Bombyx mori: one gene and its partners. Each later gene encodes a partner of the first gene's protein in a complex. Links are inferred from orthologs where the notes say so. Each region holds a gene or a part of one and is shown on either strand. Other genes may lie near its edges.

Evidence for each region.
Region 2: RING-type E3 ubiquitin-protein ligase PPIL2 (region 1) and E3 ubiquitin-protein ligase RNF113A share a complex: the UniProt entries of both Homo sapiens proteins name them as parts of the minor spliceosome. The link is inferred for Bombyx mori from reciprocal best matches to the Homo sapiens genes PPIL2 and RNF113A.
Region 3: RING-type E3 ubiquitin-protein ligase PPIL2 (region 1) and cysteine-rich PDZ-binding protein share a complex: the UniProt entries of both Homo sapiens proteins name them as parts of the minor spliceosome. The link is inferred for Bombyx mori from reciprocal best matches to the Homo sapiens genes PPIL2 and CRIPT.

Annotation. Positions count from the first base shown.
Region 1 is NC_085116.1:14,590,695-14,594,990, forward strand, and holds the start of RING-type E3 ubiquitin-protein ligase PPIL2, read left to right. Parts: upstream 1-1,694; 5' UTR 1,695-1,870; coding exon 1,871-1,902; intron 1,903-1,973; coding exon 1,974-2,193; intron 2,194-2,657; coding exon 2,658-2,970; intron 2,971-3,302; coding exon 3,303-3,427; intron 3,428-4,147; coding exon 4,148-4,292; intron 4,293-4,296. Other genes in the region: ubiquitin-conjugating enzyme E2-24 kDa, read right to left, coding at 1-218. UniProt on the Homo sapiens protein: Has a ubiquitin-protein ligase activity acting as an E3 ubiquitin protein ligase or as an ubiquitin-ubiquitin ligase promoting elongation of ubiquitin chains on substrates.
Region 2 is NC_085108.1:7,585,517-7,589,812, reverse strand, and holds the start of E3 ubiquitin-protein ligase RNF113A, read right to left. Parts: upstream 2,595-4,296; 5' UTR 2,345-2,594; coding exon 2,251-2,344; intron 981-2,250; coding exon 829-980; intron 278-828; coding exon 125-277; intron 1-124. UniProt on the Homo sapiens protein: Required for pre-mRNA splicing as component of the spliceosome. As a component of the minor spliceosome, involved in the splicing of U12-type introns in pre-mRNAs. E3 ubiquitin-protein ligase that catalyzes the transfer of ubiquitin onto target proteins.
Region 3 is NC_085130.1:5,681,513-5,685,808, forward strand, and holds cysteine-rich PDZ-binding protein, read right to left. Parts: upstream 2,548-4,296; 5' UTR 2,286-2,547; coding exon 2,113-2,285; intron 527-2,112; coding exon 397-526; 3' UTR 318-396; downstream 1-317. Other genes in the region: drebrin-like protein, read right to left, coding at 3,427-4,049. UniProt on the Homo sapiens protein: As a component of the minor spliceosome, involved in the splicing of U12-type introns in pre-mRNAs. Involved in the cytoskeletal anchoring of DLG4 in excitatory synapses.

The DNA of each region.
Region 1 (4,296 bases):
ACCCATTCATACAAATTATCTCCTTTTGGTCCTGCACTGCAGTTTGGTGGTGGGTCCAATGTAATTTCTGCCAATTCCTTTTGAATCCTCTTGGCCGATGTGCCGAGAGCCTTTGACATTTTATGGTTTGGTTTGTTCTCTTTCGTGTCTGGTTTGCCGTCTGTTGCACTTCTGCCTCGACCAGTTCCACTGCCTGATGAACCAGATGCACCAGACATTATCTAAAAGCATCAAACGCCTAATTCTGCATAACGAAGCGGTGTGTTAAGAAAAGCAAACGATGTGCAATAAAAAAATATCAGTTACTATCCATGCTTGTATGTTGACATTATTACATGTGAGTAAAATAACTTCAAAACATTGATGACAATGAATAATCTAAATGAGACTCATTTACACTGAACGTTGAAAATTAATACTGATTCCCAAATTAACTATTGGCGTGCAACGTTCCAGTAATTTGGGTCAGGACCAGGTAGAAAATTTTGTCTTGCACTTTTTTTTTGTTGGAAGCTCGAGCAAAAAATTCGACACAAAGACATTCAGATACTTCAATTTAAAAAAATTAAACTGCAAAATATAAACACAGAGACGCAAAATAAATTGAATCGCAAATCATTCACTTATGTAAAAGATCTAGGGACAAAATACGATTTAAAAAAGATTTATTTGTACCTTACGAATAACAGTCGGCCATCTTGTGGGCTGGCGTTATCCGATAATTTACGATTTTTGGTATCCAATTACCAGTTTCTGAGAATTTCAGGTGTTCTGACGGGTAACAAATAAGTAACGAAAATACTTTTCCACTTTAGGAATTAACAACCCCTATATGTACCAAAGGAATCTCGACGACGATGTCCGCACTGCAAAGCCCAAATCACCGAGTTACTTTCCCGTAATTCAATACTACTTCGAGACTTATAACTGAAATATACCTTATTTAATGATAAACTTGTGCTTTTTTCTGTTTTCTGACTATTCTTTATTACTTGTAGCAATTACCACATTTCAACCATTTGATCGTCAGCCGTCACCCGCACCAACACAAACAACTTCGTAATTTTTCACGCTGCCACTTCGTAAATTCAGAATCTTTATGAATTATAAATCAAGACTAAACAATTATCTAATAGATAAATTTACTACTCATACAATACAAATTAATTTTACTTAATCTAACTAATTACTATTAATCAATTGTTAAAGAAAAATTACAAAAATTTACACAATGCACAACCACTTTCCGACATTTTCTACTTTTTTACCAATGTTGCCGCTTGATAAATTCTTTAAATAATTGCCAGGGTTTTAAGAAATAAGGATCTTATTGTGTTGACGTTTTCTCCTGTTGGTAGAAACTTGAAGATTCTATTTGACTGCAGATTATTTTATGTACCTATTATGCTAATTTACTTTTCATCAGAAGTAAGCCTGTAATAACGTTGATAATAATTAAATTACTCTTACGATTTAATCTCGGGTTATTTCATAGTAATAATTGTTATATATTTAGTAGTTATAATAAGCCAACGACTCGCGAAACCCGAAGAAAATAATTATAATATTGATAAACTCGATTTGCTTTCACAGTTTCTCTGTGAAGTAATGTCAACTATTTTACAAAAAGTATACTTATGTTTATTTATTTATTTCAAATGATGCTAAAAAGTCACGCCACCAGTGGCTGTAAAAAATAATTTAAGAAAAACTTCGATACGACAACACTACCATTTTCAAAACAAGATCTGCAATCAAGCTTAATTAAAATCAAAATATATTTTCTTCTTTCTGACTCTGAGAGAATTAAGCAACAGTGTTATTTATTTAACGTACCTACTTAATTATAATATCGTAAAAAACACTCAAGATGGGGAAACGACAGCATCAAAAAGATAAAATGTAAGCTTGTCATTGACTATGTTTAGAGCCTAAATATTCTACTATTTCAAAACGTTTTCCGTAAATTTAAGGTATTTAACGTATACGGAATGGACAACTCTCTACGGTGGAAAACGTTCTGGAACGGCTACTGAAGAAGATACAACATTTAAAAGACTTCCATTCGATCACTGTTGTCTTTGTTTGCAGCCCTTTGACGATCCCTACTGTGATGCAGACGGCAATGTATTTGAATTGCAAGCTATCATTGATTTTCGAAAAAAGTTTAAAATTAATCCTGTGACTGGAAAGGTTAGTTCGATAAGGATTGTAAATATTTTTATATATTGCTAAGGTGGGCGGACGAGCTCCAACCCACTTGGTGTCAAGAGATCACCCGAGCCCATAGACATCAACAACGTAAATGACGCTGCCAACTTGAGACATGAGTTCCACATCTAATTTTTTCAGTAAAACGGCTGCCAATAGAAACGCATTACTGCTTCATGGCAGAAATAGACAGAGTGGTGGAACCTACCCTTGTAGGCTTGCCCTGCCAACAGTGATTACACAAATTACAATTTCTGTGGTAATGATTTTCATTGCACTATGTGATTCTATCAAGGTGGAAGGCATTAGTGAACATTTACCAATGTATCAATGCACTGGGATTCTTATCCCATAAGCCACAATAACTTGAAAATTGTATTTAAATATCAATTGGCTATGCACATAAGATTAAAATAAGTAAATGAATAACTTTTTTTTTGTTACAGAAACTTGATATAAAAACTCTAATAAAGTTAAACTTCTTCAAAAATGCTGAAGATGCCTACCACTGCCCAGTATTATTTAAACCCTTTACAAAAAACTCGCATATTGTTGCCATACGCACTAGTGGAAATGTCTACTCTTATGAGGCTGTTGAACAGCTCAATATCAAAGGCAAAAATTGGAAGGACCTGGTTGATGATACACCCTTTGCTGCACGTAATGATATTATCACTATTCAGGACCCTCAAAACTTGGCAAAGTTTAATATATCAAATTTTCATCACATAAAACACAATTTACGTGTTGAAACTGAAGGTAACTCAATTATTGTTCGTGTATAACTAGTTGTAGTTCTGAATATAATAACGAACATTTAAAAAAAATTACATTTTGAACTAAATTTAATGTGATTAATGAGAGTTAAAAGGTTATGATTGCCTATATAAGCTGGTAGTAGCTGAGGCATAAATAAATTGTTGCCTTAGTAGTCAAGTGGTGTTTTTGACTAAACTTTTTGTAACAAAAGCAATTTACTAAAATTTAACCAAGCAATTTTACTCTCATAACTACCGCTGTTCAAGTGATATTTCATTGACTTTTGAAAAAAATGAAAGTTAACTTAAACATTGTTAAATTTGCTCATTTAGAGGAAATAGCATTGAAAAAAGACCCACATGCAAGATTGAAAACAGTATCTGCCGAAACAAAAGATATATTACAAGAATTAGAAAAGGACTATAAGGCACCAGAAAAGAAAGAAGATCAAAAAGAGGTAGGTGTGGACTTCAATACAATTCAGATCAGGCAGGTCTTTAAAAACAATGGATGCTGTTATATTTATTATTTAAAAATGTTCCTAATTATCATTCAACATAAATATAAAATCTTTGTACTTTGCTTAAGCAATTGAATAGTAACTTGGTACTTGATGGAGAATGTCAATAGTTTTTTTTTATTGCTTAAATGGGTGGACGAGCTCACAGCCCACCTGGTGTTAAGTGGTTACTGGAGCCCATAGACATCCACAACGTAAATGCGCCACCCACCTTGAGATATAAGTTCTAAGGTCTCAAGTATAGTTACACCGGCTGCCCCACCCTTCAAACCAAAACGCATTACTGCTTCACGGCAGAAATAGGCAGGGTGGTGGTACCCACACGCGCGGTCTCACAAGAGGTCCTACCACCAGTAATTACGCAAATTATAACTTTGCGGGTTTGATTTTTATTATACGATGTTATTCCTTCACTGTGGAAGTCAATCGTGAACATTAGTTGAGTACGTATTTCATTAGAAAAATTGGTACCCGCCGAGATTCGAATACCGGTGCATCACTCAACACGAATGCACCGGACGTCTTATCCTTTAGGCCACGACGACTTCTAAGATTTCTTCTAAGTTTACTAAATAGCAAATAGGTTATGTACCAATTTAAAGAAAATACAAAAACTTTGGATATTCCCCTTTGTTAAAATATTTTTATTTGTTTCAGTCTGCCGACAAATTCAATGCGGCCCACTATTCCACTGGGAAGGTCGCGGCCAGCTTCACATCGACAGCAATGGTACCGGAGACGACACACGAAGCAGCCATCATATGTGAAGATGAGGTTATTTATGAAAGAACAAAAAAGAAAGGTTA
Region 2 (4,296 bases), on another chromosome or scaffold:
TCCCTCCCGCATTCTCCCTCAGGCAACATTGGAGGAAGCTGGTGCAAAAACTGGACCAAGGTGGTCACGATCCTCAGTAATGAGGAAACGACAAAGAAGAAGAAGAAGAAGAAGAAATGGATACCTTATCATCTGCTTGTCCGTGCAACTCTTCATTGATCTTCTGAGCCTTCTCAAAGATGGCTTGGGCATCTCTATCCTTTTCTGTGTCTAATTCATAGGTAGCTGTTGCATTCTCTCTCTGTTGTTGAACCGATAGTGTTGTCCTTTGAGAAGTCTGAAAGAATTGTAAGCTTATGTTGATCTAAATGGATCTTAAAACGGTTTTTTTTTATGTTCAATACAGAAGACAAGACTTCAACATAAAGATGACGTGTAAAAAGATTAAAGAGATAAAAAGATGTGTGCCAGATTTAAGTAAAGATAAACTGCTCTAATTGTTGATAATATTGATTTCAGTGGAGATATAACTGAGACACTAACAAATATCTCAAGATGCATGGCGGCATTTACTTTGTAGATGTCTATGGGCTCCTGTAACCACTTAAGAACTTAAGGAATAAAAAAAGACAACCCGAAAGGCTGAAATGGCAGCAAGCAGGCTGTTGGAACCAAAAGTTCTCAAGTGGCTATTATATATCTAAATATGTATGAAGTATGTGAAGATTTGAAGTGTGGGTAGGCCTTCTACAAGATGGACCAACAGCCTGTTTATGATATCTTATATCTGGTGCTTCAAAGGTGCAGATCTCATTATAGATCAGATTATCAAATCTGATGATATCCAAGTGAGTTGATGATGATGATGAGCTGTTAATGTTACTATACCTTTTCTTCATCATTACTATCATCATTATCTTCAATTACATCAATTTTGGATTTCTTCGGACCTCCTGTAGACTGTATGTTTGGATTTGGTTTGTTCACCCTTTTCGTTGGTAGAACTACTTGTTGCTCATCAGAGTCCGAGCTGTTTTTCTCTGAAACGTTACTATATTAAATTATATATTAAGCAGCCGTCTGGTGTAGTGGTAAGTGACATGGTCACTACACAAGGGGGTCGCAGGTTCGAATCCCGCCAAGGGAAGATATTTGTATGATAAATATAAATGTCTTTCCAGGGTTATGGGTGTATATTAAATATATATATATATATATATATATATGTGTATAATAAAAATATTATATTTATTTCCGTTATCTGGTACTTGTAACACAAGTTCTTTACGAACTTAGCACGGGACCAGTTAACGTGGAGTGATTGTTAGTAAATATTTATATTTATAAAAAAAAAAAATATCAAGTATATATGAGGCTGTCAGCGCAAAAGTGGCCTAACCCACAATTTTTCATGCTTATAATCATGTATATTGCAATTTATTTAATATATAATAAATTTTTATGCAAAACCGGCCTATCCATAGTTTCACCCATAGAAAGCAGATGGCTTTGTAATCATTATTTTAGCGCATATTGTTTTTTTTGCCAACTCAAATTCAAATTCATGAAAACTAAAGCCTCATTGCTCCATAATAACTATAGTACGCTTAGGCTGCTTTTGCGCTGACGGCCTCATATGATAAAATATATATCGACACTTGAAAGGCAAACGTGACTAAGCGACAATGCGTGAACTTTACGGTAGACTAATTTAAAGTTGAAATACATGAAAACAAAATTTATTTTAACGAATCCAGTTGTAGTAGAAACTAGCTAGTAGCTGTAGGATTGAAATAATTTTAATAGACCTAGAAATATATATTTTTTGCGGATCGAATATGGTTATTGCCTATCATTTATGTGCAAAGCAGTTATTGTCGCTTAGTCACTTTTGCCTTTCAAGCGTCGATATATTTTTTTTATAATGGTAATCTGCCGATAGTTTCTGCCAGCAATTTCTGCCAGTGTCGTGTTATGGCTACATATGGAACATTGTCGAGCTATTTAAACACACTTTATATTATAAAAAGTATCCAATTTTGGCTATATTAATGGTGCCTGGGACTAACACAAAATTAATGTTACTACAAACTTACATATTATAATAAAGATTATGTACAGAGAATAATGCGCTACATATAATTATAATTTTATAGTTAGTAGTTATACACTTAATAAAAGCACTTATAATACGGGGGTCTGGGAACAGTGAGAAAGAGGATATGAAGAAGCGATGAGATAGTTTTAATGTACTATTCTTAGATGTCTTTCGTTTGGAGAATAATTTAATAACTTAACGATCAATATTACCTTCTGAACTGGAAGTTTTACGTTTTCTGCCACCCCTATTCTTAATATTACGTTTTTTAAAAGTACTGAGTACTTCCACTTCGGCGTCTGACATTTTGAACGATTGTTTATTCAACCTAGTGTGTGCTTACTACGATATTAGAGTAATATCTACATAATCATTAATGAGGACACAATAATACTAAATAAAAGTACTGTATTTCACTTTAGGACCTTCAAGTATTGTCGGTATTTATAGGGTTTTTAATTAATTTTTGCATTTCACAACATGATAATATTGGCAATGATCAAAATAATGCTCATTTTTAACATTGACATGTGATTGATTTTGACGGATAGTTGTTTTTTTAAACTATGATTTGTCTATTGAATGGAGGGAATACTGCCCATACAACATAGCTTAAACATTTATAGCAATGCCTGAAGTTAAATCAAAACTTAAATTAGCATATGGAATAATAAGGTTAAATAAGAGAAAGCCGTACATGTTGTATAAGATGAAATAAAATAGCCTGTCAGTAAATTAGCGGAGACTTATTGAGGCTTCTAGGCAATTTGGAAGGGACCCGAGCAGCCACACAGCCACATTGAGGAATTCTTTTTTTTTTCACACTTAAGCCCTTTCTACTACTACTGTTAAAAGTTGAAACCAGAGTTAAAACTCAAACATTGTAATGGACATAATAAACACTATTCTTATCACGATGTTCATGTCTCTTTTATAGTAATAATAAATAGATAAATTAATAAAGTCATTAGCTGCCTTGAAATAAAGTGGAAGTGGAATCATAATTTACCATACAAACTGGAAATATTGAATGCTAAAAGGTTTAGGGTGTAATTTTTTTTTTATTGCTTAGATGGATGGACGAGCTCACAGCGCACCTGATGTTCAGTGGTTACTGGAGCCCATAGACATCTACAACGTAAATGCGCCACCCATCTTGAGATATAAGTTCTAAGGTCTCAGTATAGTTACAACGGCTACCCCACGCTTCGAACCGAAACGCATTACTGCTTCACGGCGGAAATAGGCAGGGTGGTGGTATCTGCCCTTGCGGACTCACGAGAGGTTCTACCACCAGTGATTACGCAAATTATAATTTTGTGGGTTTGATTTTTAATACACGATGTTATTCCTTCCCCGTGGAAGACAATCGTGAACATTTGTTGAGTACGTATTTCATTAGAAAAATTGGTACCCGCCTGCGGGATTCGAACACCGGTGCATCGCTCAACACGAATGCACCGGACGATTTATCCTTTAGGGCACGACGACTTGATATTTTAAGGAATGCACAAAAAACTCAGTCTAGTTTTATCGATCCTTGTATTAAAACGTCACAGGTTACAGCGCTCACTGATTGCTTGTCACTTGTCAGGCTTAATATTGCCGTATTCTGCAACGCGGCCCCGTTTTGTATTTCTTAGATGACCGTTATGAGAAGTGCACATTTATGAAACACAATAAAAGAATGACATCGTGTAATAAAATGCAAACTGTAAAAATAATAATTGTGTATAGGTATTGTGTGCTCGCATAGATAAATTATTTTGTATACACCATTAATGGCTGCCACAAAAAACATTTAAGAATGATCACTAATTATGTAGTATGATAAGAGATAATTTTTCTGAAGAGCCCAGAATACTTTTCATACTCGCCTTTCGTGATTTGTAAAAATGTGATTAATTTTGATGAGTAGGTAGTATTGTCCAAAATTTGTATGTATGTCTGTATGTAGTGAAGTCTCTGAACGTCATTTTCGCCGACTTCAAGACTTTTAATCAACTCGAAAATTTCAACACGCATCAAGGACCGACACCGATGCCATAATTTTATAAATAAGCTAGCTCTAATATTCTGAAAACTATCAACAGGATAAAAAAATAAATGAAATTAATTGTCAGTTAGGTTTGAACATATTTTGTTAAATTTAGCTTGTTTCTTTGTAAAAAATTCAAGTACAGAATATATTTTAAATACCTGGTAATTAAATACCTTTTTACTGGTGGTAGGACTTCTTGTGAGTCCGCACGGATAGG
Region 3 (4,296 bases), on another chromosome or scaffold:
TATAAATAAATAAATAAACATATATTCAGAATTATTCAGATTATTTAGAACATAGATAGGACAGATGACAACTTGTAACAATCATTATAATTTGTCATCATTCATGAGTGTTAGAATTATTCTCATTTCATTTTTGAAACCGATTTCTTGGATTCAAGTCTTGATTATCTGTAGTACCGCTAATTGTGGGTGTTCATAGGTTGGCATTACAATCCTATCTGTTTATTCCTCGAAGCAATCACACTTTACCATCCGTGAGGAAATTTCCAGTATCTTTATTATTATCTTAAAATAGTCCAAGGCATATAAAGCATTGCTTTACAAATACACTATATTTTTTCTTTTAGAACTTATTTAGGTAATGTTTCTTATGAACTAGGATAACATAACAATAAACTAAGTTGAGCTCTGTCTGTAATTCTTAGTGTCTAGAATCTTCTTTCCACACATGGCACATATACCCTTTTTGTATGCACAAGCTTGGCAGTAATGTGATCCGACCTGGTGTACTTTCGTTCTGCAGATTCTGAAAAATAAAAGAATATATTTTAAAAACTTTTAATACATTTTACTGGAGGTATGGTTAGACCTAATAGACGCCTTTGAAATGTGGAGCTGGAGAAAAACGTTACAGATTCCATGGAATGCCTTTCTCACCAACGTGACTATTCTGAGAGAGCTTAATATCATAACTAGTCTTTCCAATATATGCCTTCGTTGGGTGCTGGAATTCTTCGGACATATTGCCCGTAAAGAGGGTCACAATCTAGAACAGCTGATGCTGACAGGAAAGGAAGATGGCAAACGTCCAAGAGGATGCAGTACCACGAGATGGTCGGACTAAATACAATCTTCTCTGAACATCAACTTCCACAATGTCCTTCATGAAGCTAAGGATCGCAGCAGATGGAGGGAAATCGTACGGAAGAAACTGATGCAGCGGGGGAGTTCAGTAATGAGGAAAACGACACGAGGAGGTGGAGGTGGTATGGTGTAATGTACTGAAATAGGTTCCACAAACCTAGTTATTGCAACCATAAATTTGTCCCATTTTCAAAGGAGAGCCATTTTTAAATTCGAATAAATCTTCAACTGCATCTCTTCATATAAAAACAACGTACACATTACAATCATCTATGGCCCTATTAATCTACCCATGTAGTGTACTAAATAAATCACTCAAGAGAAGAAGGGATAATGAATATAAAAAACATCCTTCAAACAAGTAACAACTAACTTTTATTGTATTGTTATTTTACATATTGGTAACTAAAAGTCCAGCAGTATTTAGTGTGTTTGTCTGAAGCGTTCGGGATTAGGAAGTATTATTATGAATATATGAGGCAAAATTGGGGAAGTATTATTAAGAATGTATGAGTTAAAATTGGAGAAGTATTATTAAGAATGTATGAGTTAAAATTGGGGAAGTATTATTAAGAATGTATGAGGTAAAATTGGGGAAGTATTATTAAGAATGTATGAGGCAAAATTGGGGAAGTATTATTAAGAATGTATGAGGCAAAATTGGGGAAGTACTATTAAGAATGTATGAGTTAAAATTGGAGAAGTATTATTAAGAATGTATGAGTTAAAATTGGGGAAGTATTATTAAGAATGTATGAGGTAAAATTGGGGAAGTATTATTAAGAATGTATGAGGCAAAATTGGGGAAGTATTATTAAGAATGTATGAGGCAAAATTGGGGAAGTATTATTAAGAATGTATGAGGCAAAATTGGGGAAGTACTATTAAGAATGTATGAGTTAAAATTGGAGAAGTATTATTAAGAATGTATGAGTTAAAATTGGGGAAGTATTATTAAGAATGTATGAGGTAAAATTGGGGAAGTATTATTAAGAATGTATGAGGTAAAATTGGGGAAGTATTATTAAGAATGTATGAGGCAAAATTGGGGAAGTACTATTAAGAATGTATGAGTTAAAATTGGAGAAGTATTATTAAGAATGTATGAGTTAAAATTGGGGAAGTATTATTAAGAATGTATGAGTTAAAATTGGGGAAGTATTATTAAGAATGTATGAGGTAAAATTGGGGAAGTATTATTAAGAATGTATGAGGCAAAATTGGTTTTTAAACATCAGGATTACTCACTTGCACTGTTGAAATGTGGAAGTGTACGGATTAAATCGTCCTTTTTTGGCGGTTAATGCTTTGTTTTCTCCAACAACACGTCCGCCGGACTCCACGGTATTCCTAGCTCCAGCCTTCCAAGGGTCCGGCGTTATTACTCTGCCCAATTTCTTTTCGCACTTCTCACAAACCATTTTTGTTCTGTTTCTTACTAACCTAACGAGCTTGTATTAGTACGAAATTTTATTAAATTGTTGTTTTGACTGAATAATATGTAGGTTATATTAATTAAATATTACTTATCAAATATTAAAATATGCTCTGCTAGTGAACAGCTAGTTTTATTAAGAAATCATAGTTAATACACTTAATATTTGTTAGAAATAAAATTTATTTAAGTTGATGTTGTTACTAATAGTTTTCTTTTGAATTGTCATTTGGATAGGCAACAGGAATGAAGCCCATACAGTCAAAACTTGTACCGAAGTGCGGTTCCGTGTCTGTGGTATTAAAAGTGGAACTAAAACAATACATAATACAAATTGAATTGGTTCTGGAATTAAATTGAATAAAGAAAATGAAATTCAATGAATTAATATAAAAGACGGTCAGGACTTAGATGAGATGAAAATACCTTGCAATCAAATGGGTGGACAGTTGGTTTACTAAGACGGACTTATTCTTCCTATTTTCCACGGACTTTTTGGAAGGGCCCGTTATGCCACGGCCTATTTTTCACTAAGACTACGGTTAATATTTCAATGTACTTTTACGAATTCTAATCGATTAATATGTAAATTTTAAGCCTGAAGAGACATTAAATTAAAAAGTAACAGCTTGAGTGCCCGCCAAATAGTCCTTAATGTTTCGTGCTGTATTTTCTTCAAATTAAATAGTGTAACGTCGGTCTCATGCAAACAAGAACTGCTTGGCAGTCCAAATAGGTTCGAAGCCAACTCGTGCCACTTATAAATCGCATAGTCCTACACGACTTCTGTGCGCACCCTGACCCTTAAGTACTTTGTATATTGTTTTAGAAACCGTCAAGACAAAATCGAGATCATGGGGCTTAAGTTGAAGAAAAAAACAAAATAATCACGTTTTCCCTGTAGATAAAAAAAACATCAAATAAAACATCATATCCAATTGCAATATAAGTATTGAGCGATTTATTAACTCGTTTCTCGATAAACATTTCAATAGATTTTATTATTCAACACATTCAACTTTCATAGTTTATTTATCCGACGCCGAAAGCTAATCTATATTAGTGGCACGTTACTCTATCAAAAGCGTTGTAACGGAATGTTGCAAGAAATAAAAACATACGAATTGCTAACTCTGATGTTCCTCCGCCATTTTCGTTGGAGCATCACTTGGATTTGTGTCATTTGACTCTGGGTAATATTGTTCTTGTGGAGCCTCCGCTGTGTTCTCATAGCTTTGTTCGTAATTCTGCTCGGGTTGGTAGTTGACTTCGGCTATGTTGTTGTATTGTTCTTCGCTATATTGCGCGTTGGGGTCAGCATATTGCTGATATTGTTCATAATTTTCATATTGTTCGTTTGCGTAAGTCGGCTCCTCGTAATTATTTTGGTATTCAGGTTGGTATTGCATTTCTGTTGCTTCGTAATTTTGTTCCTGTCCAATGAAATTCGCATCCTCTTGATAAGTCTGTTCTTTATGCTCTACGTCCATTGGTCTTTCTGATTTAATTGGTGCATCGTTTTGATTTTTGTAGGGTTTTTCATCATCTTTGGACATCGGTTGAGATTGATGTTCGTCGGTTATTGTTGTAGGCTCTTGGTGGTCGTGATGCTCGGGTTGGAGTCGCTCTCTGTCCGTTCGGTCTGTATGTCCGGTGTCTCCGGGGGACTGATCTCCGGGATCGTCGTGTCCGGGAGAGGAAGCAATAAAGGGTACGCTTCTGTCGGCTGGAGTATAGTGCGTGGGATGTGCTGTAATTTGATTAAAGTTAGTTAAGTATCTACGCCCTGAGAGAAGCCGAAAACCGAAGCAAATGGAAGCTGATGGTACAAAGAGCCCCGAAGGGCTTTCAAGGACACGACCTTCAGCAATGAAGTATTCGACTAAGAAGAAGAAGTATCTAAATTTAATTATTTCGTACATTCATTGTTCATTTAATCTGATATTGATGTGATATTACTTGAAATCAAAGAACATTTTTTTGTGTCGAAAGTAATT